Arabidopsis thaliana: one gene and its partners. The protein of the gene in region 3 interacts with the protein of the main gene of each other region in a pairwise test. Each region holds a gene or a part of one and is shown on either strand. Other genes may lie near its edges. The genes, in order: AT5G45580, UNE16 and AT5G66770.

Region 1 (11,015 bases), 8.2 Mb from region 3:
GTATGTACGGCTCCTTTAGCAGAACTTTGGGGGTTCTACTATGGGCTTTATTATGCATGGGAGAACAAGATTACTCGGTTAAAGTTGGAAGTTGATTCGAAGATGGTTGCGGGGTTTCTTAAGACGGGGATATGCGATACTCATCCCTTGTCGTTCCTAGCACGCTTGTGCTATGGCTTTTTATCAAAGGATTGGTTGGTCCAATTGTCTCATGTGTATAGGGAGGCGAATCACTTTGCGGATGGTTTGGCTAATTATGCATTTTTATGCCTTTTAGGGTTGCATTTACTAGATTCTTGTTCGGATTGTATCTCATCTTTTTTTGATGAAGACTATCGTGGGATCTCGTATTCACGGCGTATTTGTTTGTAATTTGGTTTAATTTTATAATAATATTTTGAAGGGGACTCGTTGTCCCCTTCGCCTACAAAAAAAAAACAAATTAGTTTGGTATTTTTTTGGCTTTTTTCCCAAAGACATTTTACCATTATCAAAGTAAAAGAGAATGATGACAAGAAAAAAAAAGAGTAAAAAAGAATAGAGTTATCCTAATAACCAAACACTCAAAATCATTTCCCAAAAACCCCAAAGCTTTGTCACACACACTTCTTCTCTTTTATAAAATTCGCATTTCAATCAGAAAATTGTTCTTCCCCTTGGAGACGACAATGCAGAGGTTTTGCACTAAGCTACGTTCCATTTCTCTCCAATCTAATCGGAATCTCTCTTTTTACGGTGCTTCTCCTCACCGTCTCATTCACCATTCTCCTTCTCCGAGTCGTCACTTAACAACAACAACCCTAGGTTTTGCCAATTCCACCAAATGGAGCTTCGTTCCCGCCGCCGGAGTTTTTCCGTCGAATGTTAGCTCCATGGGCACTACCTTTGTTCCTCATCACGTAAGTTTCCAGAATTTAGCTTCAATTGCTTTATATATATCTGCTGATTGAGACAAATCTTAGGAGGACAAGATCTGACGAGTGACGAGCTAGATAGTTTGAATTGGTATATAGTTTTAGCTTCTTCTGAATTTTCTATATGTTCTGTTGAAACAAAATCAACAACATGGATTACTAAATACTAATTCAAAGAATGTTAATAAGCTTACTTGCACTTTGTTTTGAATCCAACTGATACAAGTCAGTGCTTGCATATATCACTACGTTGCAAGTTTTAACCTACTAAATCTCTTTTGTTAAAAAAAAAAAAAGAGCTTACTCAATCTCATAAGATACATACATGTTTTCTTTGGAATCTTAACATTCGGATTTATTGTGTACGGTTCTTGAATTTTGTGCCCCTTGTTTGATCATAGGAAAGAAGAATCGTCATGGCTTTGATTGCGTGTTTTCCGAAAATAGAATTATTTGTTCATAGTAGCTCTTGCATTTTGATATCATGTTCGTTAAGCCAGATGATAAAGGCGGTGTGCTTGAGTATCATCACTACGAAGTACCAACATTGATTTATATCTGATTGCTTATCTTATGTACGTTTGATTCTCTCTGCCTTCAGTTTGTTCAAGTACGAAATATCACTTCTAAGGAAAAAATGGCAAAATGGAAGAAGAAGTGGAGACCTAGGACTCCAATCACATCAAAAGTCAAGAAAGTCAAGATTAAGTTTTATTCGTACGTGCTGAAACTTCTGATTCCCAGATTATCAACAAATCTTGTTAGTAATAGTTTGGGCGTCTCTCTCAACAATTTTTTTTTGTGTTGAATCTATATCTCAGGTCATTCAAAGACAGGTTTAAACCACTAAATGATGGTACCATCCGTCGCTGGAAAGAAGGCAAGCGCCACAACGCACATTTGAAGGTAACAACACCTTATTCCTCATATCGATGATAGAAAATTTTATTCATTCTTTGGCCTACGCCTCTAGAGGAACAGTATGATAATACCTAGGGATAGAACTGATCGAAAATTGCCCAACAGCTGATTCTGGTGATAGTGAACTTAAATTTGGATAGAACTAGTTTTGAACTTCGAGTCTTTAGGTGTTTCCTTGTTTAGCTAAATGGACAAATGGTAGGCAAAGTTGTATTTTACAATACCATCTCTGTTGTTGGACCTCTTCGGGGTTTCATCATTGTGTAAGATTTCTGAGTCAGGTTGAGAAATGTTGAGTGTAAAGAATTTGTTTTGTTAATTGATGCAGTCAAAGAAATCGAAGCGTAGATTGAGACAACCTGGACTAGTACCACCAGCATATGCGAAAGTCATGAAGAAACTCAATTTCTGCAATTGAGAGATAGAGCATGAAACAGTATGATTACGATGAAAGCCAGTCTCTTCCAGTTTTTACCAGATAATTTTGCTCACTGGTACTCAAAAAATCTTTATGTTTCAGTTTAACTTCATTGGAATAAATTGAGTTTTCGAAATATGGTGAAATTGGCGTTAAGACTGATCGGTTTTGAAAAGAGAAACAAGTTAGGCTTATGATTTTTTCTCAAGTACATTTTCCAGCTAAACCAGAAGAAACTTTGTTTCCCGAGTCGGTCCGGTTATATGATATTTCGGTTTAGTCAGATTGTACCGGTGTAAACCGAGCTTTGGATTGAAAAATACACCCATTCTCATGTTTGGTTAGGACAAAACGATTGCGGTCGAACGAAGCGGCCTTGGTTCCACGTGTGTATTTCTTGTGGGTCTCAATTTCAACAAACGTAAAAGACAAAAGAGTAACAAAGCCGTCCACGTGTCCTATGTTGAAATACCATTAAACCCCCACCGTCGAACATGTGAGTTTCAGATTATTGTATTTTCCTTGTCCGACGGCGAATATTCCACGCTGGCAGTCTACGTGACATGCTCGCCCCATGCACTTTGTTTTCGTCATATAAATTCCTTTTTAAAACCATTGAATTATTATTGTTATTGTTTTTAAAAAAATACAAAAAAAGGTTTTATGTCGCTCTTGTCGGAATTTGACACCGCTCATCACTCATCATGTATTGATCGTCGCCGAATACAACGATTTGTTTTTTTTTTAAAACAATTTTTAAAAGGTCACAATACAACAATGAATTTCATCAAATCTTTTATCAAAAAAAAAATGAATTTCATTTTATTTGATTATTCGGAATTGATTTATGTGTAATGTGGAATGTGTAATAACAAATTACTAATTTAGTAATTTGGTCGAAACATTTTCTATGTTTATTTTCTTCTTCTATCTCAAATTGAGACTATCCGACAACATATGAATGATAAATTTATATGATACCTAAATAAAGGAACAACATGGAGAGAGATTTTGATTCATGGATTGTATGAGAATGAGACAAAACCTTTAGTCATAAGTTATCTGATTTAAAAACACATAAATCTAACATATAAATTATTCAAATGATAAAAATGATAATTCCTAGAAACTATATATTCTTTGGACATTAATAATCTAGGTATAGTAAACAAATATCCATGATGCGGGCCATGTTCCTCTCTCCCATGTTACGATTCTGAATATACAAATACCTCTTGATTGATTACAAAAAGAAAAAAAAAAGTACGCAATCATGTATATATTTTATTCTACAACATGACATATACACGGTCTAGCATCTCATAGACACAATTAAAAACGCAAGTAATATGCGGTTGGTAATTGCGTTTGTATGCAATAAATCACTAATCAGTCATAATACAATAAAATTTTGCTATGTTTTGCTTTCATACTATTCACAAAATCGATATAAAAAACGTTAATAATTACTATTTTCTTTTTTATTATCATAATATTTCGATATGGATACAATTTGTTTTTGTATATAAACAAACTTTTAGTGTTGGATCCATAATTTGTATTATACATATATTATAATAATACTATATTAACCGAAGGTTGACGTTAAGTCACGAATAATGTCACCACTTCTCCTCCTCCATCATCATCATCACCGCGACGACTTTTTTAAGTTCCCTTTCTCTCTCTCTGAGATTTTCCTCAAAAAGTTTTCTGATCTCTTTTTCTCCATCAATCATCACACTTCTTTCTATTTATCTCGTCCTCTCGTCGCCGATTATCTCTTTACCCTAATCACTCGCATTCCCATCTTTAACAAAATTTCTTCCACTTTCTTTCCGACCAATATTTCGTAGTTCGATTGCCATTTTTCCTTTTTTTGAGTTTACGCTTCCTCTTTCCGATCACATCCTTGAGAAGAGGAAAATTTCGAAGTTATTTGATTCATTCTTCCGACTGAGTTTCCCGCCATTATTTTGTTTGATCGGAAAATTAAATGGAAAGAGTGAATCTCGGAGGTTTAGGTTACGATAATGGCGGAGTTATGATGACTAGAGATCCCAAACCTAGGCTCAGATGGACAGCCGATCTTCATGATCGCTTCGTCGACGCCGTCGCTAAGCTCGGTGGCGCTGACAGTAAGCTCCTCTTTCCTCCTCTTCTTCAATTGTGATAACCGGTTTCACTTTATAATTCCGGTTCAGTCCGGTTAAATCTACAGTTGATGTATCTGTGTAACAACATTATAGCTCTTTTACTCTTTCTTATTCTTCAATTGAGATAACCGGTTTCACATTATGATTCCGGTTCACTTCGGTTTGGTTGGTTAAGTTAATGCCAGTGATTCAATTGATTCTTCTCTATGTAGCTTGATAACTTCAAATTTAATAGGTTACAAATGTAATTATATCTGTTTGCTTAGTGACATTTGTTATTGGTTTGGTTTTGTAGAAGCAACTCCTAAATCGGTTCTGAAGCTGATGGGATTAAAAGGTTTAACACTGTACCATCTCAAGAGCCATTTACAGGTCCAAATTTATACAAATTTGAGTATATAATAATGTATAATGTCTACAAATTGTTGGTTTATATTCTCTCTTATGATGTGTTTCTATATGCAGAAGTATAGACTTGGTCAACAACAAGGCAAAAAACAAAATAGAACAGAACAAAACAAAGAAAATGCTGGTATGTATGATTATTATCAAGAATTCAAGATTTATATATAATTCAGCTTATAGTAGAGTATAATATATATATACATATGATGTATTTAAGGAATATTAATGTAGATAACATTTGAGAAACCAAAGATTGATTGATTTTTGTATTCACAGGAAGTTCATATGTGCATTTCGACAATTGTTCTCAAGGAGGAATCTCCAATGATTCAAGATTTGATAACCATCAAAGGTATATTATATATGAATTTGCCTTCTCTCGACATAATGGATTTGTAAAGCTTGAGTTTGACATAATGTTAATGAACACACGTAGACAAAGCGGGAATGTACCTTTTGCTGAGGCAATGAGACATCAGGTCGATGCGCAACAACGGTTTCAAGAACAACTCGAGGTAACAAATCTCTTCTTTCTTCTCTCACAACAATGAATAAAAGTTTTAAACCGAAGTTTTTGCGGTGTTATAGGTGCAGAAAAAACTGCAGATGAGAATGGAGGCACAAGGAAAATATTTGTTGACATTACTAGAGAAAGCACAGAAGAGCTTACCTTGTGGTAATGCAGGGGAAACAGACAAGGGTCAATTCTCGGATTTCAATCTCGCACTTTCGGGACTTGTAGGAAGTGATCGTAAGAACGAGAAGGCGGGTTTGGTTACTGATATCTCACACCTTAATGGTGGTGATTCCTCTCAAGAGTTTCGGTTATGTGGAGAACAAGAGAAAATAGAAACCGGAGATGCATGTGTTAAACCAGAATCCGGGTTTGTGCATTTTGATTTGAACTCCAAAAGTGGGTATGATCTCTTGAATTGTGGGAAATATGGGATTGAAGTGAAGCCAAATGTGATTGGAGATAGACTTCAATAGGTTAAAGAGACACTTTCTTTAATTTTTTATTTTATTTTATTATTTCTTTACATTTCTTATAGAATGTTACAAATTTGGCTTCATGGTTTCTCAGTCAAATATCAAGAACATATTTGAAGTCCAAAGTAGTTGATATCAGCTAAATACGGAATAATTGGGTTTAACTAAATAAGTTATTTTTGTGAATAATAAAGTGTAGCATCTTCTCTCGCTTGTTCTGCAAAATTCAAAACCTATTTGCTTGTTTCTTAATTCTTTTCAAAAATATGTCTATGCATCTAATTGTCTCTTTCTAAAAAATGAGGATCAAACAAAGATGAGATTTGATTCTCATGATTGATTTTCTCAGTTAAAAATAAGGGAAATTTAATAGAGTAACCCATATTTTATACATAAAGACCCAAAAGGAATGCTAAAAATATGAGTTATTTGAGTAATAATTATACCTAAATTATCCTTGTTTTCCTTTGCAGAGAAAAACAATATTACAGAAATGCCATTACTATTTAATTCCAGCAAGGCAATAAAACCACATTTATTTACGAAAATGCCATCGTCGTTTTTGATAAATCTGTGGCTCTTGTTGCGACGGATTTGTTATCGATCACAGATTTGTTGGTCAACCACAGATTTTTTACAACAGACTTGTTTTGTACCCCAGACTTTCCTGTGTTATGTTACGCCAGATTTTTTTTTTTTCGCAGATTTTTTAACCGTGACTAATTTGTTTCATATAGTCTCCACAGATTTTATTTAAATTTCAAAAGTAAGAATGTTGAAACCAAATCTGTCACTGATTTGTTTTTCGGACCACAGATTTTTCTTTATGGCGGCAACAGATTTTCTATTTGCACCCAAAAATCTGTTGTGTTATAACAGATTTGTTAACCTCGAAAAATGTTATATAGGCATGACAGAGTTGTTTTGTGTAATCACAGATTTAATTAACTTGTTAACAAATCTGGTGTTTTACAACAGATTTTTGTTAAAAAATAAAATTACTACACAGTCACATAGTGATAACAGATTTGTTTTTAGTGATGACAGTTTTTTTTTTCAGTGTCAAAACATAACAGATTTACTCATGTCAATGTTATGGCCGATTTGTTTATGACTAGAATAACCTTTTTAGTAATAACAGACTTTTTTTGGCAGATTTATTTTTAAAATTTCGAAATTTTTTGTTATATGAGATTTATTAGCTAGCCCTCAATTAAATTATTTCCGGTTTGATTGTATGTTAAATCCGGTTTGACTTGATTTTTTTTTTTTTTTTTTGAAAACGTTATGACAGACTTTTATTAGGCGACAGATTTTTCCGAAATATTACCATATTTGAGTCAAGGAATATTCTCGTAACGCCTAGGGTTTCCAATGAAAAAAACTGCCATTGTCGTTTTCTTTTTTCTTCTGTAACGCCTACCAAATCTAATTTCAATACAATCCATTATTCTTCTACCTATTCGAGATCTTAGTTGCTTCATCTTTGACACAAATTCGATTCCCTTGTTTATCGATTCTCTCTTTGGTATGGATCAAGTAATTCTCGTGTGTGGTAAATGGGTATATGAGAAAACGAGATGGATTTTTGTGGTTGATAGTACAAAAGGTTGTCGTGTACTTGAAGGTAATAGTCAAACCAGTTATGATGATTTCATCCAAATGGTGTATGAGGATTACAATATCGAGAAGAGTGTATTTGAAGTTATTTTGAGTTACAAGATCCCGAAATCAAAGCAATTACCAGCAGATACTCCACCTGTACTCATTGGTAATAATAGACAGTTTCAGTCTTATTTGGGGCAAACGAAGAATGATACTGTTCGACTTTGTGTTGAATTAAAAGAGAAAGTTCTAGATGAATATGAAGAGGAAATCATTGATGATTTAGGTAGCAGCGACTTGCCGAAGACAAAAGCAGTTGATGTATACGGTATTGTCGAAGAAAACGTTGAAAACGTTGACGTATTCACTCATACTGATAGCGTTGTTGAAAGAAAAAAATCTGAAGCAGTTGAAGATGGTGAAGATGACGGGAGTAGATTTGATTACTGTGATGATTCCGACGGAACAGATTCTGATGATGAGAACTTTAGCCTCTATGGGATTCCACCAGAAGAAGAAGATAAAACGAACGTATCAAGCAAGAAGATGAGTTTAAGTGTATACGTAGAAGAAGATAAAGGAGATGCTACATACGAGACCTTAGAACTATCGTCATTGGGATTGGCCGTTGGTCAATGTTTTGAAACGAAAGATCACTTGGAGACACGTTTGAAGATACTTACTGTGTTAGAGAAATTTGATTTTGATGTTTCGAAATCGACTCCTACATTATATTTTGTAAAGTGTTGGATTAAGGGATGTCGATGGAGAGTGCGAGCAACACCAGTTGACGAGTATCCAAAGTTTCAGGTGAGAGTGTATGTTTCGGAACATACATGTTCTGTTACTAAACGCTCATCACGTTCTCGACAAGCTACTCACGAAATACTTGGATTGCTCTATAAGAATTACGTTGGTGGAATTGGACCTAAGGTTCTCCCAATGCACGTTGCCGAAGCATTGACTAAACGATTTCAAATCAAGGTACGATTTCCAATTTCTTGGCTTTCTTTGTTTATTAATTACACCTTGTTTTCAACCAACTAATCACTAAAGTCAATACATTTTATTAGATGGATTACTGGAAGGCTTATCGGACACTAAGATCTGCCCGAGAGATGGTTAGGTATACACCAGAAAGTGGTTACGAGCAACTTCCGGTATACTTGTACATGCTAGGGAGGGAAAATCCTGGAACCTTCACGCGACTTGAAGTGGATGAAACACAGCGATTTAAGTACTTGTTTCTTGCGTTTGGTGCAAGTATTTTAGGATTCCCTTTCATGAGGAAAGTGGTGGTTGTTGACGGTACTTTTTTACAGGGAAAATACTTAGGGACACTTCTTACAGCAACAACTCAAGATGGTAACTTTCAGATATACCCGATTGCTTTTGCCGTTGTTGATACTGAAAATGATGCCTCATGGGAATGGTTTTTTAGACAACTCAGCAGTGTGATTCCAGATGATGAAAGTCTCGCCATTATTTCAGACAGGCACCAATCCATTAAAAGAGCAATAATGACAGTTTATCCTAAGTCTAGCCGGGGAATCTGTACATACCACTTGTACAAGAATATATTAGTTCGCTTTAAAGGTCGGGATGCATTTGGTTTGGTAAAGAAGGCAGCAAACGCTTTCAGATTAGTCGATTTTGAAAGGATATTTGATCAGATTTTAGCTTTGAATCCTGCTCTTCATGCTTACCTTCAAAGAGCTGATGTACGTTTGTGGACTCGTGTGCATTTTCCTGGTGATAGGTACAACTTGCTTACAAGTAACATTGCGGAGTCAATGAATAAGGTCATGTCACCCGCAAGAAGCCTTCCTATTGTACAACTGTTAGAAGAAATTAGATCCATGATGACGAGATGGTTTTCAGACAGAAGGAATGATGCATTGAATTTGTCTACATATCTTACTCGTGGAGTAGAGAAGATATTGCAGGTTTCATTTCTAATACAAACACAATTTATACACGTCCGTATATTGGTGATTATAGCTAACTAATGACATTGTCTTCTTTGTAGAGTCGTGTAGAGCACGCTAAATTGCTAAGTGTGCAAGACATAGATGCAAATCAAGTACAAGTTACGTTTGGAGCATCTCTGCATGTTGTTAATTTGAAGGACAAGAAATGTTCTTGTCGCAGGTTTGACCTAGAAAAGATCCCATGTGCCCACGCGCTTGCAGCTGCTGAAAAACGAAAACTTTCTCGGATATCATTGTGTCATCCTTACTTTCAGAAGAATTATTTATGCAAGTCCTATGCTAATGCCATCATGCCCAGGAACTTTGATATACCTGTTCCCGAGAATGTCGTGTCGAAGATATGTTTACCACCGGAAGCTCGTCAACAACCAGGTAGACCAAAGAAATCGAGAATTAAGTCTGCACTAGAGATTGCTATGGAGAAGAAGAAGCCTAGAAGACAACACACTTGTGGCAATTGCAAGCAAATTGGACACAATCGTAAGACATGCAAGGCTTAATGTCTTTTATGACTTTTTTCTTTTTATGTTCATTTCTATGATTCTGTTCTAAGACAATAAATCCCAACGATTCCCGTTTGCTGTTTACATTGCATATGTCTGAAACCAAGGGAAAAAAAATACAACGAATTCATTAAGCAGCCTTCTCCTAAACGTCCACAAAGCTTTCACTAATGCATTCAATCAACAGATGTATCCCAATGAAAACCAAAAAATCTGATTTGCAAATTTTTGATGCTTATATAAACCAAAAAATCAAAAGAACGACTTAAACCGCGCATTAAAGACCCGAATTGAAGATTCGTAACGTACGACGTTAATAACGCGAGATCCGCGGCGTGAAGTCAGCAAGTATTTTAATACGTTTGATTCGATGTATTGAGTATAAATAGGATTCGATGACATTTGTAAAGGGGACGATGGAAGATAGGCATTTTTACCTACTTCCAGTTTCGCCATGAGGTCAATATTGTTCACCTCGAGTTCCTGGACCCGTAGCTCGGCGTCTTTCATCCGCTTCAGCACCCTGCTGGCCCTCTTCACCGTATGAGCGTTCTCGTCTTCATTTCGCCTAAAGCTGTCAAGTTCGCTATCCTTGTCGGAGTTTGCTGTCTTCAAGGGTCCCCGACATCACGACCCTGTCAGACAAGATCCTGGCCTTTTCTTGATTAGCTCTTTCCCTCTCACGCTTCTTTTCAGCTCGGTACGATGGTCCAGACATCTCAGCTTTGCAAAATATACGAGGAGAAAAGGGAGGTGAAGAGATAGCGAGGTCAGGACGAGTCCGAAGTCATTTACCAGATGCTCGGATTCGGTCCGAGGTAAGAGCTTCCCAACCAAGGTCTTGACCGCAGAAGTTAGAGAAGTGAGATGCAAATGCGCGATTATCGCGGGATTCCGCCCGTCTCAAGTAGCTCGTCAGCTCGTCCGTCTCAAGTAGCTCGTCAGCTCGCCCTTCCCAAGAAGCTTGTTAGCTCGCTCCTCTTCGTCAAGCTATTCAGCTCGCCTTTAAGCTCTTCAAGCTCCTCGGCTCGTCCTCAAGCTCCTCAGCTCGTCTTCAAGCTCTTCCCATCACTCAGCGACCATCTCCTCGCCTAGCTGTCAGCTAGTCAGCT
Region 2 (10,652 bases), on a different chromosome or scaffold from region 3:
TGAACAAATTAAGCTTGGCAGAGCGTAGATCTGAGTCAGATGATAATGTTTTTTTCGGACAATAAAGTTAGGTTCCTTAAATTTTCTAATATTATCTCCACATGATCACACCAATACACACACAACACTCCTTAATTCTCGTATATATAAACATTTATTCTCCACCTATTTTGTCAAAATTAAGAACAGGCTTCATTCTCTGGACAAACACTCAAAAAACAAACAAAAAAAGGAACATGGAAGATCAGTTTCCTAAAATAGAAACTAGCTTCATGCACGACAAGCTCTTGTCTTCTGGAATCTACGGGTTCTTGAGTTCTTCGACGCCGCCACAACTTCTCGGTGTTCCAATATTTTTGGAAGGTATGAAATCTCCTCTTCTTCCTGCTTCTTCGACTCCGAGCTACTTTGTGTCGCCTCATGATCATGAGCTCACATCTTCTATTCATCCATCTCCGGTAGCTTCTGTTCCTTGGAACTTTCTAGAATCTTTTCCTCAGTCTCAACATCCTGATCATCATCCTTCTAAACCTCCAAACCTTACTTTGTTCCTTAAAGAACCAAAGCTACTAGAACTTTCTCAATCCGAAAGCAACATGAGCCCTTACCATAAATACATCCCAAACTCCTTTTATCAATCAGACCAAAACAGAAACGAATGGGTAGAGATCAATAAAACTCTAACCAACTATCCCTCGAAAGGTTTTGGAAACTATTGGCTAAGTACCACCAAGACTCAACCCATGAAGTCAAAAACAAGAAAGGTTGTTCAGACGACGACCCCAACAAAACTGTATAGAGGAGTGAGACAAAGACACTGGGGCAAATGGGTCGCAGAGATTAGGCTTCCAAGGAACAGAACCCGTGTTTGGCTCGGCACTTTTGAAACCGCTGAGCAAGCAGCAATGGCTTACGATACAGCAGCTTATATCCTTCGTGGCGAATTCGCACACCTCAACTTTCCTGATCTTAAACACCAGCTCAAGTCCGGTTCTTTGCGATGCATGATCGCCTCACTTTTGGAGTCCAAGATTCAACAGATCTCATCTTCCCAAGTAAGTAACTCTCCTTCTCCTCCTCCTCCAAAAGTGGGAACACCGGAGCAAAAGAATCATCACATGAAGATGGAGTCAGGAGAAGACGTGATGATGAAGAAACAGAAAAGCCATAAGGAAGTGATGGAAGGAGATGGTGTACAATTGAGTAGGATGCCTTCTTTGGATATGGATCTCATTTGGGATGCTCTCTCATTTCCTCATTCTTCTTGACTTCAAATTAATATTTGTCAAACTTATTTTACTTACTTCTACCCTTTTTTATATCAAAAGTTTCCACCAAAGAAAGAAATTCATATTATGATGCCAAGATTGGTTTGCATTTGGGGTTGAACACATTGTAATTCTTCTTACGACCACATAATCAAGTGGTTCTCCTTTTTTTGTCTGCTAATTAATTGTTCTTTTCTTTGCGGTTACTAGTAACCATAAAATAGAAAAGTGTTTGTTTTCTAATGAGAAAATATTATAATTCTGTTGCACCAACTCCAACTTTAAAAGTCCAATGTTAGAATATTTCCTACATTCTATACTAAAGCTCAAAGGTCAATAGAGAATATGAATAGTAATAGGGCAGAGAAGCGTTAAAGGGCAAATATGAATTTAGATTATCTTTTCTTTTGTCAACAACTACAATATGAGTTTCTACAACCAAATAAAAAGTTGATTATATAACTTTAGAAATAATTATGTCATTTTTAGCTTCAATTGTATTTCCGAATATGCAAACAAAAGTGAAAAATCTAAAGTTTTGGCACAGAAATAGAAAGAGGACAAGTATCACTTATTTGGAAAGAGAAGAAACTTAAACTTTTTACCGACCACAAAAGCGTCAATTTTTGTTTCGAAACGACGCCGTTTAGAGTACAAAGTACAATACTCTCCCGGCAATAACCAACATTAGAGTTTTGGCAGAGATTGTTACAAAACTACACTTGCTCATGTTTTCACTAGGCGTATAATCGTGTCGTGTTATTTCGAGTAAGTACATACCTTGCAGTTCAAGCACTATGCAGGTCCAGTGGCATAGACATAGCCTTTACCTGCAAAAACACCATTTGAAACCATACAAGATTCAGCCACTTGGTAAGCAAAAAACCATGGAAGATTTAACTACCAAGAACTGTGAAACAAAGAGAGCACTCTTAGCAATTTTTCAACCCTCATATCAAAGCACACAACGATGAAACTCACCATTGTGGATGAAGGGCTAGAAGAGTCAAGATGTCCAGATCTTCTAGCCTCCCAAAACCGGCTTGTTTTATCTCCACAACGCTGTACCTGCGATTTGCTCTGATCTTTGGAAGAAAAACTGATCTTCTCTCTTCCCTTTTGTACAGCTCTTAACCGACCTCTCAGCAACCCAACTTCACTCTCTATTTTCAGTCTTTCATAGTCAATAGCTGACATTGAATTTCTTCGCATATTGGTAGACATGTTACTTTTCCCTTGTGGAAATGCATAACTTGTATCTGAAACACTTTGTGATCTGTCCAGTTTCAGATCCTGAGTGGCATGGTCAGAAGGAACATTCAGTTGCCCCTTGTTATCTTCATCAGTCACTACATGGATGTCATGTACATGACAATCAATGTCGTGAGGGTCCTCACAAAGCTTCTTAGAAACAGCAATGTCGCTAGTTCTTGATACTAGTTCTGCATATAAAGTTTCACCTTCCTCTCTTTCTTTCAGTTCTATATCACTCAGGGCATCAAATGGCTCACTTCTTGACTGATCACACTCAGTATTGTCCATCTGATTAGTGAAGATCTCAAATCCAGAAGAGACATTCACAGTCTCCATGTCATCCCATGGTTCAGTAATCTGTTGCGGCGTCTGCAATCTTTCGATTTGAGCTGGTTTAGAATCTGGAGTATTGTGAGGTTGCTCAGTCTCAAGAAACATTTGCCTGTAGGTATCAACTTCCTTCTCCAGAAAATGTTTCTCCCTCTCCCTCCTAAGCAAAATTTCTTTAAGAATACTCATCTCTTCCGCATCAAAAGCAGACTTTTCTTCTATCATCCGCTGATATTGCCTAGCTTCCATCTCTATCGACGCCTTTTCTTCTTGCAACCGTAATATCATACCTAAAGCCTCATCTGCAGCAGATGCAGCAGCATTTCTCTCTTTCTCAAGTTCAAGAGCTAACGAAGCACGTGCAGCTCGTTCTTCCCCAAGCACTTGTTCTGACATCTCAACCGTCCTCTGTACCATACCAGGGGAACTGCATGCACCCTCTCCCACTCCACACCCAACAGAACTTAGTGAAACACTTTTCCGCAACGACACATCCTCCAATGCTTTTCCACTATCTACAATGTTACAACTTGCATCAAAATCAACATTCACTATCCAATATAATTGAATAAAGACAACAAAAAAACTTACCATTGGAGTTCACAAGAAGAGGATCATTTTCATCATATGATCCCTCAAAGCTCTTAAGGCCTAAACAACTTTGGTAATGGTTCTTGAAACCATACGGCGACCTATGGAAGCTAAGCCGCTTACTCTTAACTTTAAAGCTTCCTTTTTTCAAACTTTGCGCAGTTAAAAGATCGAACCCTGAAGCCTTATTCTCAAACTTTCCAACAGAAGGAGTAGTACTAGATACCTCATCTTCCAACTGAACACGTCTACGCTCACATTTTCTCTTCTTTCCACCATTATACAGAATTGAATCAAAAGGTGTTCTATTTTTAACAGATCTTTGAACAGAAGAGATCTTTTTAACCGGAAGATTCCTTAAACTCTCTTGAAAACACTCACTGTATAGACCATCACAAGGACATGGTAGGTCTAAACCAAATAAACCGAGGAACTTCGATGTTACATAAACGATAAACGATGCGCAAAGTAGCGAAAACGCAACGGAAAGATCGATAAACGCAGCCACTAAACCTTTAAATGTCCATGATTTTACCTCCTGGCAACGCATTTTATACCTGCAAGTATACAATAATCTACAGAAATTACTCAAAGTTTGAGAAATTGGTTAGAGAATCAAATTGTTATTTGAATCAATTACAAGCATATATCCAAATCTAAGACTAATTTGGTAAGTTAATCAATCAATCAATCAAATTATATATAAACACAATCGTTACCACAGAGAAAACTCAACGATGAATCAATCGTTAACACAGAGAAACTCCTTGCGATTTGATTAATTTTTAGTAAATTAGAGAATTGAAACTCACACGAAGAAGAAGAAGTTGAGAAATCTTGGGGAAGCAAGCACAACGTAAACGGCTCTTCCTCTGCCGTTTTTATTTTCTCTCTTTGTTCAAAAATCAAAACTTCTTTTTTAGTTTTCAAAACTTCAGTTGCAAATCACCGTACGAGTGAGCAGATACGCCGTCATTTTATCGCCGACCCCATCACTCTCTTCCTCTTGAGATTTTTTTTTTTTTCTTTGACATTTTATTTTACACACGTAATCAAATTTGTGCATTTACGCAAATGTGTGCCAACTAATTTGTAGACAAGATCCAATCTATAGCATGGAGATAAGTTATGAGTATTTAATGAGTATTTTTTATGTTATACAATTACATAAATTCTATATTTAGGTTTGTCCAAAAAAGAAAAAAGAAGGCAAGCTTAGAAAAAGTTGAAGCAAATACACAAACTAAAAGAGAGGCTACAGATTCAACAAATATATACATAGACGCTAAGACAAGTTTGATGACAGAGTTTAGAGTTAAATACAACATAGCAAAATTAAATAAGCTAAAATCTGGTCTCGCTCTCTCTCTCTCTCTTGCTAACTTCATCCAATGCTACTACTAGGCATAACCCATCCAGCATCATGACCAACAACCACACTATCTCCATTTCCAAACACTCCTCGTTGTCTCTTCTTCATCAACGCAGCTGATACCGGACTTCCTACAGTGCTGGAAGTCAGAGAGCTCTCTGCTGAACAGTTGTTCTTGTGCTCTATTGCTACTGCAAGCTCGGATAAGGATGGAATCATCATTTTGGTTGTGTCGAAGGTGCTTGTTGTTCCTTGGCACCCATTGGTGATGGAGGCCTTTATGGCTAGCTCTGAAAGCTCTTCTCTAGCTGCCTCTAACCCAGCAAATGCAACAGCTTGCTCCTCTATAGCCTTGCAAGCTTTCTCTAGAATTGATTGCAGGTACTTCCCTTGTGCCTCGATCCTTAACTGGAGTCGCCTTTGCACCTGCGTATACTAATGGATCTTATTAAATGTGGAACCAGGGCTCAAACATTAGTATATGCGGTTTCTATGGTTCTAACTTTCATGAAAAGATTTCCTAAGTAGTAACGTTCTGATAAGCTTTAAGGAAATTCAATGGAGGTTTCTATATAGTCTCTCATTAACCAAAGTCTCTCTGGTATTTGGTGAATTCGAAGAAGAAACTAACCTCTAGTTGCTCGTGTAGTCTTCTTTGGACTTCCATCTGGGCACGCAAAGCTTCAGTGACCTGGTAACTCCTGGCTCAAGACAAAAACAATGAGTGTTATAGACAGTGAATATAACACTTGGAATAAAGAGAACACTTGAAACCATACTCGTTCTGTTCTTGAGCAGCCAATCTTAAGGATGATGTTGAAGATGAACCAGTGTCCTGACTCTCCGCAACACAAGAAACTACAGAGATATAAGTTCACAAAGATATAAATGCACAACTGAATCCATAAAGATATAAATGGATTCTTAGCTAAAGATATAACTGAATACCATCCTTAGAGTTGTCAATTGATTCTTTACAAGATTGCCTCCCCAAGCGGAATTTCTACCGAGCAAAAAACCAGAGAACAACACAGTCAAAAAGCAATGAACTTTGTTTGTTATAAGTAGCCAAAGAAGCATAATTTGATATTGAAGGTAGTAGCATCAAAACCTGAAGATGAGATTTGAGATGGTAAAGAGTGAGACCCTTCACTCCCATTGTTCTCATTATAGTTTTAGGCGTTGCTTCTGACATCAAACCAAACACACAAAAAAACTAATCTTGTAAACAAATCTCAAGGCCAATAAAAAAAACCTAAAGAATGCCACAGTAATTCCTAAATTGTTCTAAGTGACATAAACCCAAGAAATCCATTCTATTTCAGGATGATTGACTTCCAAATCTGAAAGAAATTAGACCTAACTCGTTGTCAAATTCTTCGTACTAACTGAAGAACAACAGATTAAAAAAAAAAACACATTTCATTCTAAGATCCATAAATTTCTAAGAAGGGACACTTACTGTCGGGTCCGCCGAGCTGAGTGACGGCGTCAACGAATCTTTCATGGAGCTCAGAGGTCCAACGAAGGCGAGGCTTGGGGTCAGTGGTTAGGACCAGACAAGCGTCGATGGGAAGATTGGTTCCGTCAGAGTAGTCTCCCAAGCTGCCATCTAGAGGAAGCGAAGACCGAATCGCCGAGTACATTCTTCTTTGATCCCCACAAAGGAACAAACTTTTCTTCGTTTCTTTTATTTTCTCGGCTGTTTTCCCGGGAAAGTGAAAGAAAGTGTGAAGAAAGATATTGTGGATTTCTAAGACAGCGAAGAAACGAGTTGATAGATTGGACAAGACAACACTCGGATAGTATTTTGTGTTTATATTTGTGCATTATTGAATTTATTTAGATATTTTCAAAAAAAAAAAAAGAGAGAGCAGAATTTATGTTTTGGTTATTTGTACTCTTTGCATTGAAATTCCAAATAACATATATGTTTTGAAAAAGTAGTAAGATAAAATTTCTTTTAGTTATTATTTTCGTTTTTCAATAGCAGAATAAAACTTCAAGTTCTCTATCTTAAGATGGTGCTAACTGCTAAAATAAACCAAATGAAAAAAGAAAAAAATAGGGTCCTCAATTTTTTTTTAAATATCAAATCCTTTAAACCTACTAGACATTTTTCCAATTATTTTTCTTTTATATAATTCAAGAGAAAAAAAGTATTCTTTAGCTTTAGTTTTTTAATTTTTATATTACTATTGACAAAATTTGTTTATGTAATAGCAGTTTCCAAATTCAGCCACATAAAACATTAAGAAATCAGAAGCACATCAATCATTCATATGCATAAAGAGAGACTCTGTTTCTTGGCAACATAGAATCTTTATTTTGAGACACTTTCTCTTAATCTACAATTCATCAATTTTAAAGCCATAGATGCACGTATATATGTAATATGTACACATATATAAGCCCCTAAAAAAGGATGGGGTATGAAAGATAGTGATAGTTACTTAGCAATGGTAGTAGAAACAAAGGAGTGGTTCGTTTTGTTAAGTCATCGATGGTCTCCTTTGCTCATGATCAACTCCTGCATCAACTCCAACTTTTCCTCAAGAACAGTCATGTGACTATTCTTTCCTTCAGGATAATACTCTTTGCTCAAGTATATCGTCTAGTATCATATCATTGCTGAGAATTCAGCTTACCCGTAAGGTTTGGTCCATGATCTCCTTCTTTGAGCGAGAACCAGAGCTCGAACTTTGGAACACAGACTTAACCTTCCCAAAAGAGGCGAGTGAGCTACCAGGCTTTGGCTCTTACCAGTAATCTTTACAAGAGCAAGCACCTCCTTCAAAATGATGAAACCTATATGCATCCCTCACTATGATTTCTCGATTTGATACCTTAGATACAAACTTTATCCAAGCATGGCAATCGTTGCAAACACGTAGGTTCTTCATTACATTTATAGGCACTGTTGCAGGCAAGCTAAGGAGTCCAAATGAAATTGCTAATTTCTCGCTGTGGATGAAAATTATTGGATCTTTTTGCTCGTGCTGCAGTTCATTCAATAGGCTGAAACAGTCTTGCACATACCCGATTTCAGATGCTCGTTTGGTAAGATCTTGGAAGTATTCATGTATCTCATCTGCTAACGGGTGATTCTGGTCACCAACATAGAAAGAGTGAATTGAGTTTTTAACTTCAATCCAACTTTGTCCCGGTTCTTTCTTCACACCCTTTTCTTTCATCTTTTGTCTTGTAAGATCCCTAGCATCCCATTTCTTGGACACCGCATACAGATTTGACAGAAGAACATATGTTGCTGAGTCTTCAGGTTCTAACTCTAGGAGATGATGCGCTGCAAATTCTCCTATTTCCATGTTCTTGTGCACTACACAAGCACTCAAAAGTGTTCTCCAGACCAAGGCATCTGGCTTAATAGGCATTTCCTGAATGAACTCTTTCGCACGGCTCAAAAGACCAGCTCGAGTTAGCATATCCACTACACACACATAGTGTTCCGGTTTAGGAGATAATCCATATTCTGAATTCATGGATTCAAAGTATGCAATCCCCTTGTCCACTAGTCCTATGTGGCTACATGCTGATAGAACTCCCACAAGCGTCACATGATTAGGCCTTACATTAGAATGTATCATCTGGTCAAAAGAATCTAGTGCTTCAGAACCAAACCCATGTTTAGAATAAGCATTAATTATCGCATTCCACGAAACTTCATTTTTCGTGGAGACTTCAAGGAACTGCTTCTCTGCATCAGAAATGCTCCCACACTTGGCATACATAGAGATTAAAGCATTGCAAACTTCGGTTTCTGAATCGTATCCGGTTTTGGTGATCACAGCATGAACCTGCTTCCCTTGTTTCATGTTAGCTGTCTCAGAAGCAGCTTTCACAGCAGACCCAAACGTGAAATTATTATTGTCAATTCCTTCTCTGTTCATTCGAACGAAGACACGAAGTGCTTCTTCATTGTTTCCACTCTGCTGAAATCCGGATACCAGAGCATTCCATGCTATATTATCTCCAGCTTCAGTTTGTTCAAACGCTAAATACGATTCCTCTATTTTTCCGCATCTAGAATAAAGTGTAACCAGTGCATTTTGAAATGGCAGGTCAGATGAGAAACCAGATACACAAGCTTGAGCATGAATTTGCTGTCCTTCCTTTAAGGCTTGAAGACCAGCACATGCACTAACTGCATTTGTCAATCCAACTTCATCAGACCGAATCCCTCGATCCAACATCTGCCTGAAAGTTGTTAAAGCTTTGTCGTCGAAATTGTATTGCGTGTAACCTGCAATCATTGTTGTCCAAGACACAACATCTTTTCCAGCAAACCTTATAAGTATATCCCAGGCAGTATCCAACTTTCCTAATTTTGCATACATATCGATGAGCACACTACAAACATAGGCATTGAGCTGAAAGTTAGTTTTTATTATTTGACTATGGATTTGTTCTCCAAGCTCCAGATCCCCAAGTCGTATGCAAGTTTTCAAAATACTCGGGTAGGTATATTGATTTGGAACAATTTCCTCTATCTGCATCTGTCTGAAAATCCTAAAAGAATTTCTTAAATCGTCTAATAACCCATAAGCTACTAGCATCACATTCCAGAGAACTACATTTTCAACCTCAGTCTCAAGAAAATAATCAAGGGCGGTTTCAATATCAGCGCATTTTGCATACAGATTAAGGAGCGCACCTTCAATCTTGTTGTTTGAAGCAAAACCAAGTTTAGTTGTGTATGCATGTAGCTGTTGTCCCCTAAACAGAGTTCCATCAGCTGAACATGCAACCACAAGGCTCGCAAGAGTATTACTGTCTGGTTCAAGTCCATCAAGGTGCATTCTTTTGAACAATTCCATAGCTTTCTCACCATAACCACACTGAGAAAGCCCGTTGATAAGAGTGTTATAAGTAACTGCATCTCTCTGTGACATGTTACTGAAGATGTGTTCTGCTGATATCAAATTTCCCAAATGAAAGTACAAAGACACAAGTGCATTGCAAACATAAGTGTCGGAGGAAAACCCTAACTTCAATACGAGCCCATGAAGCTGCTCACCAATCTCAAGAGATTCTATCTTCTTACACGCACTTAAAACACTTGAAAACGCATAAGGCGTTGGCATGATACCTAAAACATACATATCGCAGAACAATCTAATGGCTTCTGCTTCACATTCATTTTTCGAAAGCCCGGATATCATTGCAACCCAAGAACTATGATCCTTCAGACGTAACCCATCAAAAACCCTTCTAGCTAAATCCACAAACCCATTCCTAGAGTACAAGTCAATCAAAGGATTACACACAACCGTACTATCCCTCAAGCCCTGATATAAAATCCTTGCATGAATCTGCTCAACTACATCAAAAGCAACACTACCACCACGACATGCTTCCAAAACACCACTGAAAGTTCCTTCATTCGGAGTAACATTCTCACTAACCATTCTCACAAAAAGACCAAACACTTCTCCAATCAAATTCCTAGAAGCTAACTCCTTTATCATCTTATTCCAAGTAAAAATCGTTCTCTCAGGCATTTCGTCAAACACCTTGAAAGCACCATATAAATCTCCTTTAAAAAGATAAAAATCAAAAAGCTTTTCAGAGAGGCAACCATTGCTATCCAAACCCAACTTCAAAATCTGGGAATGTAGCTTTCTTCCTTCATCTAAAGACCCATTTGTCTTCAAACATCCTTCAAGAAGCCATTTCAAAGTTTGATGATTAGGTCGAATTCCACGATTCTCCACGGAATCAATTCTCTTTTCTTGAAATGATTCATCCTCAGAGATATAAACAGATATAGCAGCAAAACTAGCTCTCCTGGTCCCACAAAGAGTCTACAAAAGAGGAGC
Region 3 (11,393 bases):
TAAGAGACGTACTAGATTTGGGTGGCTCACAGAGGAAAGAAGCTTGATCTCGTTCACAACTTGGTCAATGCTTGTAGTGTCTTTGTGTTTGAGACGTTTTATAGCGACGCATGAGCTGTTTGGGAATTCGCCTGCGTAGACTGTTCCGTATGCTCCGGTTCCGAGCATGTTCTTGTCGGAGAAACTATCGGTAGCTTTCTCAATCTCTTTGTAGGTGTAGAAAGGAACACTTGAGTTTCCGGCTAGCTCGCAAAGCAAGCGATTCGCGATTGATGCTCTTTCAGATGACGCAGATTGCTTGTTCCGGAAGAAATATGTAGCTATCAAGACCACGATTACTAAAACTCCAACCAAAATCCCCGCTATAACAAAAACACAAAACATTCAACTTTTCGAGACTTAATTAAACCGCAACTAATTGATACTTAACCGAATAATAGGATTAGTAATTTACTTACCAGTACCAAGAACAACGAGTTTGTGTAGTCCTTTGCGTTTGTAAACTGAAACCATGACAGTTAAAAATAATTAAGAGAAATATCTTTTCTTTTCATTTTTTTGTCGGAACAGAAATATCGTTTTGTTTTATTGTTTATCAAAAAAAAATCATTGTCAACTAATTTCTTCCGCCAAGTTTTGAAAAGTCAGCTTTTCCTCCTTGCTAAAAGCGTACGTGTCATTGTACCATTGGTGTATTTGTATGTCGGTCAAGATTGGAAAACAAAAGTCAAAGACCGGAACGAACCTAATCGGTGGCAACCACCAGGCACGGTGAAGGCTTTACCGCTAAATCCTTCACGACAAGTGCAGCGATGACCGAGTCCACCGTCGTCGAGCTTAACTTTGGCACAGTCTGCGTTCTCCGAGCAAGTGGTGTTACTGCAACTTCCCTTAAGCCACCAATCAAGCTTGAGTCGACCCAAATTGACCGAAACTTGCGATTGAGAAATAGAAGAGAACCAATACTTACATCCACTTCCGTTCACAACGTCGCCTAAACTCATCACATCGGCAGTTGTCGTTGTTGCTCCGTCGAGACAGCTAACCGGAGATTTACATTTGCTGAGATTTAACCGGTTTTCAACGAATTTATTGCGGATTAAGCAATTAGAAGACTTGTTCTGTTTCTTGCATCCTTGGACGAGAATTATGTTCTGTAATTTCGACGGAGCAAGATTTTCCCGGAAAAGTTGTTCGATTTTACGGATGTTGCGTTTGCAAACCGGCGGGATTTCGACGTAGATGTTGGAGTTTGTCACTTCTTGCACAGCGAATTCACCGATCACGGCCTCTCCGGTTATCTCAGAGCAGTTGAATCGGATCGGATAACCGTCGGAGAAACCAAACGGGTAACGGAGCAAACTTGTTTTGCACTTAACCGAACCGGTGGTTTGTGTAGCAACGGTTAGAGTGAAGACGAAGAAGACGAAGATGAGATACGGTTGAGGAGTTTCTGCCATGGAGAGAAAGAAGGATAATGATGAGATCGAATGATTGTCCCAATGGCAGAAACTGTAAATTCTGCAACTTCGTTTCCGGTTTTTATGTAATTTTTAAGATATGTTTTTGACTGTTTCGTACTTTCGTTACTACCAGCGGGTTGAGTTGACCTTGTATTATAGTTCAGAGTCTGAACTTCAGACCATTGAGGCATTGACCAACTGCGAGCTGATAATAAGGGGGTAGTCTTGACATTTTGGCTTTAACGTTCGTTAATCATGCATCATAGCCTCGTTAGGTGATTGATTAAATGAAATTTGCCCCCAGTGTTCGAATAACTACAGATATGATACTAACCAATAATAAGAGATTGTTAATACAAATATGTGCATGTAACTATGGAAATAAAAATTCAATTCTTTGTACGAAGCAAGTGTAGAACACTAAACAGTAGAAGCTAAATCTCCTCAACTCTGTTTTGAGACGTACGATAAGAACTAAAAACTTGTTGAAAGTTTTGAAGTGCGAACTTGGAGTGAATATTCCAACTTCTAAGACGTTACTAATAACATAAATTATGAACACGCAACACACCAGCTAAGTTCCATCAGCATTGGAGTTTCAGATGAATTTACCAAATTTATCTTCGCTGACGTTACTTTTAACGTGTTGCATCGGAATCGAAAGTCCGAAAACAGGCTAATATTCATTGCTGACGTTATCTAAGAATGTTTTCCTCGACGGTTCAACTAAAAAACCGTAGATTTGTTCATAAATAAACAAACACAGTCAAATTAAGGGAATGTTCAACAATCAACAAAAACTACTAATTCAACGAGTGTTACAAAAGTGATAAGGATAACCAACAAAAACCCGGTAAAGGTTACGGGTCAAAAAACGCAATTAACAAAAAAAAAACTCTAACCAGAGTCTACGAACTACAGAGCACAAGTCTGATTTTATTAAAGCATAAAGAACAAAGACACTAAATCATCATTTTTTCTTTAGCAGTGGGATTGTGTCTGGTTCCTTGCTTTCTCCTTCTCCTTCGATTCGCTACCTTGCGTTTTGTCGTAATCTTCAATAACATGAAAACACACACACACACACCCAGAATCGTAAACAATAAAAGTGATCATATAAGTAGTAATAAACGTGTATATGATAACTAACTATTCTGAGTACCAGGGTGATTCTCATGGATCTCGTTTTCCTTCTGAAGTGTTTGATTTCCTCCATAGATTCCTCCAAACCCTTCTTCGTCAGACCTTGTTGCGTACCCTTCTCCATAAGAATGCGACATCACGTCACTGCTCCATCAAAGTAAAGAAGAGAACGAAATTTTTTTTGAATAACATCCAAATTACGAATCAGAAACAACTACACACATATGGGGAGGAGACGAACCCGGTTTTCTCGTTTGGATTTTCAGGCTTTTTATCCATCTTTTGCTGATCAGAAGTGGTGGCAAAACTAACTCCAGTGACTTTCCGGCCTAATCGAGATGGTGTTGAGCAGAACGAGACGGTGGTATTCGAGGGCAGTGATCGGATAGTCTTAAAAGCGTTGATCATTTCTCTGCTTTTGGAGGTTTCTTGAAGCTTAAATTTATAGAGTAAGTAGTTTTTATTCTTACGAGGAGATGATAAGTTTTAAATTAAAACCCTTTAGTAAGGTAGAGTTAACGAAGTTAAATACGTCAGGTTTAAGCTTAATTAAGCTTTCCTGTCTTCCGACATAATAGTACGACGGTGTCCTGATCAGAGTTTGCCTCGTGGTGCTCTGGTGACAGGTGGCGGGACTTAACAAGGATTTGAATACGTGTTTGTCAGGACTGTGACATGTGTTGAGCGCTGCAACGGGTTCAGATTTCTATGATAAATCCTCTTTTAGCAACTTGGGCCACCAAAAAATCTAAATGGCCCAAGTAAGTTGGGCTAGAACAAGTCGGTAAAGACATCGAGAAAAGAGGGTGGGAGCCACGTGACCGTTAAAAGAAGACGGATGGAGGACGTGGGAGTGATGTCATCATTGGCACACTCAACAAAAAAAAGTAAAATCAGTACAGTGACTGAGACTGACACTGAAAGACTCAAATAGAGCAACTGTGGCAACTTTGACACATAAGAAACAAAAGAAGATGAAGTTTGTTTTAAAGTGAAAAGAAAATGACACTTATAAATTCAACACACATCTCTTATTCATGTAACTTGTATTTGTTATATCTTTGCAAGTATTGACATTTAGCTTTCATAAGTTGTACCATGTTCAGATATACTTATGTATAATGGTAGATATTCATATATCAAAACTACATTTCATCACTTTTTTGAGCAAAATTACAAATAAAAGAGTAGTTACAAATATATTTGGCTTTCAACTTCCTAATTTTATGAAATAGTAATTACATCTCAAACAGATGACCAGAACCGGTCACTTTATCCAACCAAAAATAAAGAAGCAAACCAGTTTAAATTATCTAATGAGAAAACAACAAGACTAAGACCAGTTTTTAAACCTAGTTCACAAATCCAAATGATGTTACCAAAAAACACATAAGGTTCAGAGAATTCAAAACCTACCCCTGAATTAATTCAACGTTCGAACTAAAAGAAAAACAAAACACTCTGACCACGGAGTATATTAACAATTGAATATTTGTCTAACCAAAAATAACATTGAAAACAAAACAAAACTAAGAATACCGGATCGGTTTGGTTTGGTTATCGCCAGGAAGAAAGAGTGAGGAGAGGTAAATCGTTCCAGGCCAAAGAGATGAAGCCAGGCTTAGATTCAACAATTGAATACAAATTGCTGTAATTGTAATTCCACAATAGAATCTTCGCTTGGCTCACTGCGTAATTACTCAGCTTAACCGATTCAAAACCGGCATTCTCCATTAATACCCGCCATTGCTCTTTCTCTTCCATTCTTTCTCTATGAATTCCGGTTTTCTCCGGTCCAATCAAACCCGAGATTCTCCGGCCGAACAACTCTCGCTCAACTCTCACTCTCTCCTCCGAATCACGCCCCAAGTTCGGTTCAAGGGATTCGAAAACCGCGGAATAGAATTGAAGCGCGTTCTTTACCCGGTTAGCGAAACCGACCCGGTTTAAGCTCACTTCGTATTCTCCGAGAGTGACGACCCTCGGGTTCAACGATTTGGCGAGCCGTAGTGCGGTGTCAACTATCGTCGGCGTCTCGTCGAGTAATTTGTAGAGCTGGAGCATGAAATTCACGGCCAGTACTTCATCCGGGTCGACCCGGAAACTTGACCCGTTAAGTAAATGTATGGGAGTGAGAATTGGGATGAAATCGAAATTCAGATCCAGAACCTTGGCGAAATCACGGAGGCGGTTTCCGGTGGCGATTAACGACGGTTCCGGAGATTCACCGAGAGATGGAGCGGGTATACCCGAGACCCGGATTTGAGTGGGTTTACCAGAAGTACGAGTAGCTAGAGCTTGAAGAAGAGCAGGCCATTGTATACCTTGAACGATTCCAAAATCGACGATGTGAATCTTGTTCGACTTCTCCGTCGCTTCTAGAATCGCTTGATTCGCCGTCAAATGTGCGAATTTGGAGTAAGGACAAGCGTCGTTTAGGGTTTTATAAGATAAGATTAAATCCTCCGTAGATGAAGAAGAAGACGACGTCGCCGGCGAATTAGGAGACAGTCTGTTGGAGAGAGCTTCCGTGAAGTAAAATGCAACTCGCTCCGTCGGATCACCTAGCTCCGATACAGATTCTCGGATCTGAAGAAGCGTCTTGGAAGCTTCGTTAGGGTCAGAGTCTGAGATCCGTGCACAGTCGTATATAGCTTTGAGGAGAGGTGGTTCTAGGTCGAAGTCATCGTCTTCGGAGTCGTTAGTCTCTGGATCTTCTTTGGTTGGTGACTCATGAGTAAGCGGAGGAATCGATAATGGCGAAGAAGGAGGCCACAAGGTCGGCGGAGGAAGCGGACTCGACGTGTCAATGACTCGGTTTAGATCTGACGGTTGGACACTGAGTCGACTCGGGTAAGTATCGAATGGATCAGGACCGTAGATTACGTAATCGGGATTATCATGCCAGGTGTCACAATCAGGACCGTCTGCAACGGAGTCTCCACCGCTGATAAGAGTCTCCATCCACTCGTCGGACTCAAACTCGCCGCCGCCGGTTCCACCGCCGAAATCAGATAACCTGAACCCACCGCCGGTGGTTGTGGCGTGGTGGTGGTCTAAGTTAGGAAAAGGAAAGCCAGGATCGTTGGAATCTCCGCCGCCGGTAACTTGAAACGGGTCGGGAAAAGCCGAACCTGAAAGCCCAAACCCGAGGGAAGTATTGGGCCATGGGTTAAGAGACAAAGGATTAATACCAAAAATCTGATGGTCTTGATGATGTTGCTGCTGTTGTTGTTCTTGTTGCTGCTTCTGTTTGATGACTTGTTGAGCAATAGCCATTAGATTGCCACTATCAGTGCACATGTAAGCCATTCTTAACGCCTAGATCTAACCCTCCCGGCGGTCTATAAAAACCACTGCCAAACATGCAGATTTGCGGTCACTGAAGAAGAGGATGATGACCAGAGAGAAACGGCGGGATCTCAAGCTTTGGATTTTAGAAGAGAGAGAGAGGTAAAGAGAGGAGAAGAAAGAAAGGTCAGCCCTAGAAAGTGGATCAACGTTTGATTAAAATCTGACCGTCTGATTTCATTGTGGGTCCACACATTTTTCTTTGTTATTTTTAAGACAATGATATTTGTAACGGTAATAATACCGATATAAACACACCACATCTCTTAACCAATAACATATTTATGCATACATTATAGAAATCATTGGATCTAATTCCAAATTGTTAGTCTCCTAAGAAAGAAATAGAGAGATATGTACAAGTTACTCCCACATTAGTTTTTGTGTGTAAGAGAATGTTATCATAGTTTTACATTGTGAACTCGTCATTATCGATTCATCCGCTAACAAGTTTCTGAATTTGAGTTCACAATGTTGTGTAACATTTTTTAAAGACGATATGACATATAATGGCCGAGGTTGTTCATATTAATGTCTCCGTTTGGGATATAACAATGTAAATTTGTTCACGTGACGCACACTCTCGCGCCAAAACAAAAATTAAACAGATTTTATAATCAAATACTAAAAAAATGTTTGCTAAATAAAGGAATAGAAGATAAAATAAATTAAAGAGAGCTTTTTTGGTGAGTGAAACGCTCAGTGGGAGGAGAGGATATGACGAAGCTATGGGTCCTTCTTCATCACTAGACAAATAAACTCGCTCTTTTCCTTGTCAATATTGATATTACTTCTTTCATGCCTCCAAACTATACCATATTTTCAATAAATTCGTACCGTATATAAATCTGGGTTAAGATAGATGTAAAATATGTTTACAAAAAATGAAATTAACCTAAAGTTTAAGAGTGATGAAGATTCAGAAGACTGAGAAGTGTATGAATGAAAACAAATCTCTCATCCCGCTCTTTTCGAGGGACCCGAGAGGTGGGGTCCACCACTGTCAACGATGACGTCATCATACTGTAGGGTTCCTCATCTCTGCCGTTGATCTCTGTAATGTGTATCTTCTTTCCCATCACAAACTGCTCTTGACTCTCAGTGACTCACCTACCTCCTTAATTATTCATTCATAGATAAATAAATAGATGGTCTTATTTTCATGGTTACCAAACAAATTAAAAGAAGAGTGCAATTGATGTGAAAATTACTTGTTTGTATATATATCCAAACATTAACATCATGATACAATATAGACGCACCATAAAATAATTAATTAAAGTAAGACATAATCTCAAATTGTATTGTCAATTTATTCATTGACAACTTGTTATATATATATGAGACTGTGTGTGTGTTATAATTTATATATAGTTTGTATGAGGGTGACAGATGGGCCCATGGATCAGCCCAATATACATGTAAGTTCTAAAATATGACACGGAAAAGGAATCGCTGGTGGGGCCTTTTTAACTGTTATTGGATCGATCTTGCACAATTGAAGCAACCAATCTTAAAATTAGCTTTTAAAAATTACCCAAAAATGAAAAAAATAAAACAGTATTTCCAAAGCTTTTAAAAAAAATAATCTGGAGTGTTTTTAATAGTAACACATACAGTAAGGGAAATATAATCTGACAGCTTTTCATCTTTTCACATATATAATTAGAATTTTAGAACAATTGAATCCTATAGAATTTAGTTTTTCTAATGTGTGCAACAACCATACTAAGTGCAACGATCACCAAAAATTAAAATGTGAGTTTGTGTTGGATATTTAAAGTATTTTGGTTGAACAGAAAATAAAGAAGGATATAGTTAAAGTATTTTCTTTTTATAAATGATAATTTGCAAATGTGTTTTTTTATATAAAAAAAAGTGAGTGGGAAAGAAAAATATGCAAAAAACAACGTTTTAATCTCTCTGGCTTTTCGACTAACCTCTCTTTTGTGTTGCACTGCACCTTTGTCTCCACGTCAAAATGTCACTCACTTCACTTTGGTGACCCACTTCTTACACATCTCTCTTTCAGTTTTTACATAAAACATACAACAGTCTCTGAATATACAGCACTAGGTGCATAGTGTTTTTCAGATTTCTTATGAACTATATTAACATAAAAGCAGTAGATAAGGTAATTTCTCTACAATTTGGTTAAATTCATTGTGTAAAAAGTAAATAACAACAAGAATTAGTTTTTATTCTAATGAGTTTTTTTTTCCGGGTAAAACTCCATATATTCTAATAAGTTTTGTATGTCTATATATATATATATGAATCTTCCCCCATTAAGCATAAGTTCCGTAACCGGTCAAAGTAAATTTGAAAAAGATTTTTTACTTTAAGATAAGGATAAGAAAAAGAAAGGTGTATGAGTGAGTAAAAACCCTACTTTATTGACAAGGTTAGATGAAGATTAGACAATTTAATTACGACATTCCTCGATTTCTCTTTCATACGTTGCGTTTTAGGCATTGCTAAGTCAGCTTTGTGTCGAAATTTTTTAATTAACTATAATTGATTGGGTTTTGGAATTGTTAAATGTGAAATGAGCAGGTTAATAGATAAGGTTGGTTGGTGAAGTCGACTGGTTTAGTTTAATTTGTGTGGAGCTTTCTAATTTTGTTATCGATTGGTTCTAATTAGGAATAACACACACGCATGCGGAAAAATATAATATCTTATGGTTGGTTAGTGTAATATTGAACTACATAATTAGTCGAATTGGTGTGGGGCTAGTTTCTAAGCTTCAAGGTCGTAATCATAGATCATTTTTGTATTTACATTCACCGACTGTATCTTCAATTTGCATATGTGGAAGAGCACTTTTTTAGTATACGCCATAAGCAAGTGGACGACTTTTAAAGAGAGATACATTATAAAGGTCACATTTTCTACGGCCAACATTATCATCTAGCGACGACGATCGGACCAATCTAAAACTCGCTCAGATACGCAAATATTGAACAAAAATATTTGAAATTACCCCCACTTGTAGGCCTAAAAAATGCCTTGACTGATCCGAATTTACCTAAAATAAAATTTTGTTCAGACAAGAAAAAACAACCCAAATTTTGTTTTTCTAATGGTCACAACTCAAAATTGTATCTCGTGTTCTGATACCTATTATCACCGCAAAATAACTTTCACGGTCGATACGGAATTCGAACATTTTGATTTAAAAAAAAAAAATGAATATCACCAAGGCGTAATTAACAGGTAACAAAGAATGTAACAATTTCAGGAACTGATAAAGAAAATAAGAATTGTAGTGTTTTTTCCTCTTTCTATCAATTTATTTTCATCGTTTCTGGTGTAAAACGTAAACCCAGTTTCAGAACAGTCCTTTGTGCTCCATCAGCTCATAACTCCGTCTTCTTCTCCTAATTCCCTTTTTTTGGGGGGTTCCTGATTATTATTATTATTCCGATAACAGATAAAATAAAAACATGGGCTCGATCAATAGACACGAGCTTTGGGAGGGAAAGTGTCGATCTCATCGTCGAGAGTGTCCATGTGAACAGGCCTATAATCCAATCTCACTTTCTCATCTTCCCAATATCCCAATGTATGCTTCATCCATTCTCCATCCTCTCTTTTCTGCATACACACGCATTCATTTATACTACGTTATGGTTTCATCATTATGGGATAATCAATCATTGTGGAAAAGCTGAGCAAGGAATCAAACCGTGAAGTCTTCCCGAGCATGTGCTCCTCTGCTTTCCTTTCGTGCTTCTGCTGAATGCATTGTTATGGATGCGTTTATCAAAAGGTTCTCCAGTTCCAATGTCTCTATCAAATCCGAGTTCCTGCATTTTATTCATAGTTTCCAAGATTAACAAGAGTTCACCAGATTTTATAACAGTGTGATAATCAATCCCATGTGAATAGAGTCTGTCTTACCATATCATACTCCGATCTTTCACCTGGACGTCCCCAAAACTTTCCCAGGCCTTGTCAATCAACTGACAACCTGTGATTGTTTCACGGTAATAAATTGTAAAGAAAATGGATTGCAGTTGCAGGTGAGAGAATTAAATAAATGCAGAACAAGTTCAGATCACTGTTTACCTTCTTCCAATGTTTCTTGCGTGCGGAACACAGCTGCGTTGTTCTGCATAATCCTCTGCATGTTCAATCTGATAGTTGAAGTAGGTAGAGACCCGTTTGAGTTTCTCAACCTGTCCAGCCATGCAATAGTCTTCTCACCCGCATCCTTCTCAAGAGGTTTCTGTTTCTCCCCTGCACCAATCGAATAAAGAAAAAAAAATGATCAGAAGAGACTTATCTTTTATAATAACAGCAGTCCTCAAAAAAGACTAACCTGGTTTGCTTATCTCTGCAACCCTATTTGCACAAGCACGACCAAATACGACAATGTCGAGCAGTGAATTTGCACCAAGCCTGTTGGCACCATGAACAGATGCACAAGCTGCCTCCCCAGCAGCCATTAGCCCAGGAATCACTGCATCTGGATCATCGCCTTTGATGGTAACTACCTGCAGGATTTAACAGAATAACTTTCAGAGCTAGGCTTCTAATCCATCTCATGCTTAACTCCACACAAATTTCAGCAAAGTTTCTTAAATGACTTTTCTTATTCTTACCTCGCCATGGTAGTTTGTTGGGATACCACCCATGTTATAATGAACCGTGGGTAAGACAGGAATTGGCTCTTTGGTAACATCAACACCAGCAAAGATGGCAGCGGTCTCAGAGATTCCAGGAAGCCTTTCTTTTAGAACTTCTGGAGGAAGATGATTCAGATGGAGATAGATATGATCCTTATGCGGTCCTGGAAGATATCAGCAAAAAGTTGTCCAGGGTGAGAATCAAACTAGACTGATCACAATATCAAAGCATATCATGTAATGAGAGTTCACTCTGAAAATAAGAAGTAGTTTTCAGTGGAACATACCTACACCACGACCTTCCCTGATTTCCATAGTCATGGATCTGGAGACAACATCTCTTGATGCAAGATCCTTGGCTGTAGGAGCATATCGTTCCATAAAACGTTCACCTTCACTGTTTCTAAGGATACCACCTTCACCTCGAGATCCTGCAATTGTTTAAACACCAAATTTTTTTTGTGAAAAACACATTAAATTTTATATTGCAAACAAATTCGAGTATGTGAGAACATGATACTAACCTTCGGTGATGAGACATCCGGCCCCATATATACCAGTTGGATGGAATTGAACAAACTCCAAGTCCTGCATAAATTTATTAAATATAAGATTATTAGCATACAAATTACAGACAAATACATCATACACAATTTTGAATAAAAACGAAACAGGTGGAAAACCTGCAGTGGAAGACCGGCCCGTGCAACCATTGCATTTCCATCCCCTGTGCATGTATGTGCTGAGGTTGCAGAGAAGTATGCTCTGCCGTACCCCTGGAAAAACATTAGCCACCAGGTGA

Evidence for each region.
Region 1: the proteins of AT5G66770 (region 3) and AT5G45580 interact in binary tests that used the Arabidopsis thaliana proteins (3 or more experiments, as listed by UniProt).
Region 2: the proteins of AT5G66770 (region 3) and UNE16 interact in binary tests that used the Arabidopsis thaliana proteins (3 or more experiments, as listed by UniProt).

The regions. Positions count from the first base shown.
Region 1 is NC_003076.8:18,475,881-18,486,895, reverse strand, and holds AT5G45580 (Homeodomain-like superfamily protein), read left to right. Parts: upstream 1-3,887; 5' UTR 3,888-4,249; coding exon 4,250-4,391; intron 4,392-4,704; coding exon 4,705-4,781; exon of another isoform or gene 4,782-4,820; coding exon of another isoform or gene 4,821-4,874; coding exon 4,875-4,941; intron 4,942-5,090; coding exon 5,091-5,166; intron 5,167-5,250; coding exon 5,251-5,329; intron 5,330-5,402; coding exon 5,403-5,804; 3' UTR 5,805-6,087; downstream 6,088-11,015. Other genes in the region: AT5G45590 (Ribosomal protein L35), read left to right, coding at 669-899, 1,516-1,631, 1,736-1,820, 2,164-2,253; AT5G45573 (uncharacterized protein), read left to right, coding at 10,320-10,349, 10,399-10,540, 10,618-10,721, 10,771-10,953, 11,010-11,015.
Region 2 is NC_003075.7:7,932,037-7,942,688, forward strand, and holds UNE16 (Homeodomain-like superfamily protein), read right to left. Parts: upstream 6,610-10,652; 5' UTR 6,462-6,609; coding exon 6,278-6,461; intron 6,004-6,277; coding exon 5,927-6,003; intron 5,819-5,926; coding exon 5,764-5,818; intron 5,674-5,763; coding exon 5,595-5,673; intron 5,517-5,594; coding exon 5,447-5,516; intron 5,251-5,446; coding exon 4,828-5,250; 3' UTR 4,570-4,827; downstream 1-4,569. Other genes in the region: AT4G13620 (Integrase-type DNA-binding superfamily protein), read left to right, coding at 102-1,268; AT4G13630 (zein-binding protein (Protein of unknown function, DUF593)), read right to left, coding at 2,057-2,098, 2,250-3,367, 3,444-3,993; AT4G13650 (Pentatricopeptide repeat (PPR) superfamily protein), read right to left, coding at 7,575-10,637. UniProt on the Arabidopsis thaliana protein: Transcriptional activator. Probable component of the central regulatory system controlling transcriptional responses to Pi starvation. Binds in a sequence-specific manner to phosphate starvation-regulated promoters.
Region 3 is NC_003076.8:26,655,248-26,666,640, reverse strand, and holds AT5G66770 (GRAS family transcription factor), read right to left. Parts: upstream 6,331-11,393; 5' UTR 5,919-6,330; coding exon 4,164-5,918; 3' UTR 3,722-4,163; downstream 1-3,721. Other genes in the region: AT5G66790 (Protein kinase superfamily protein), read right to left, coding at 1-362, 459-503, 746-1,460; AT5G66780 (late embryogenesis abundant protein), read right to left, coding at 2,445-2,518, 2,626-2,750, 2,848-3,014; SDH1-1 (succinate dehydrogenase 1-1), read right to left, coding at 9,417-9,557, 9,649-9,769, 9,864-9,933, 10,032-10,202, 10,285-10,459, 10,568-10,755, 10,879-11,022, 11,116-11,179 and 1 more. UniProt on the Arabidopsis thaliana protein: Probable transcription factor involved in plant development.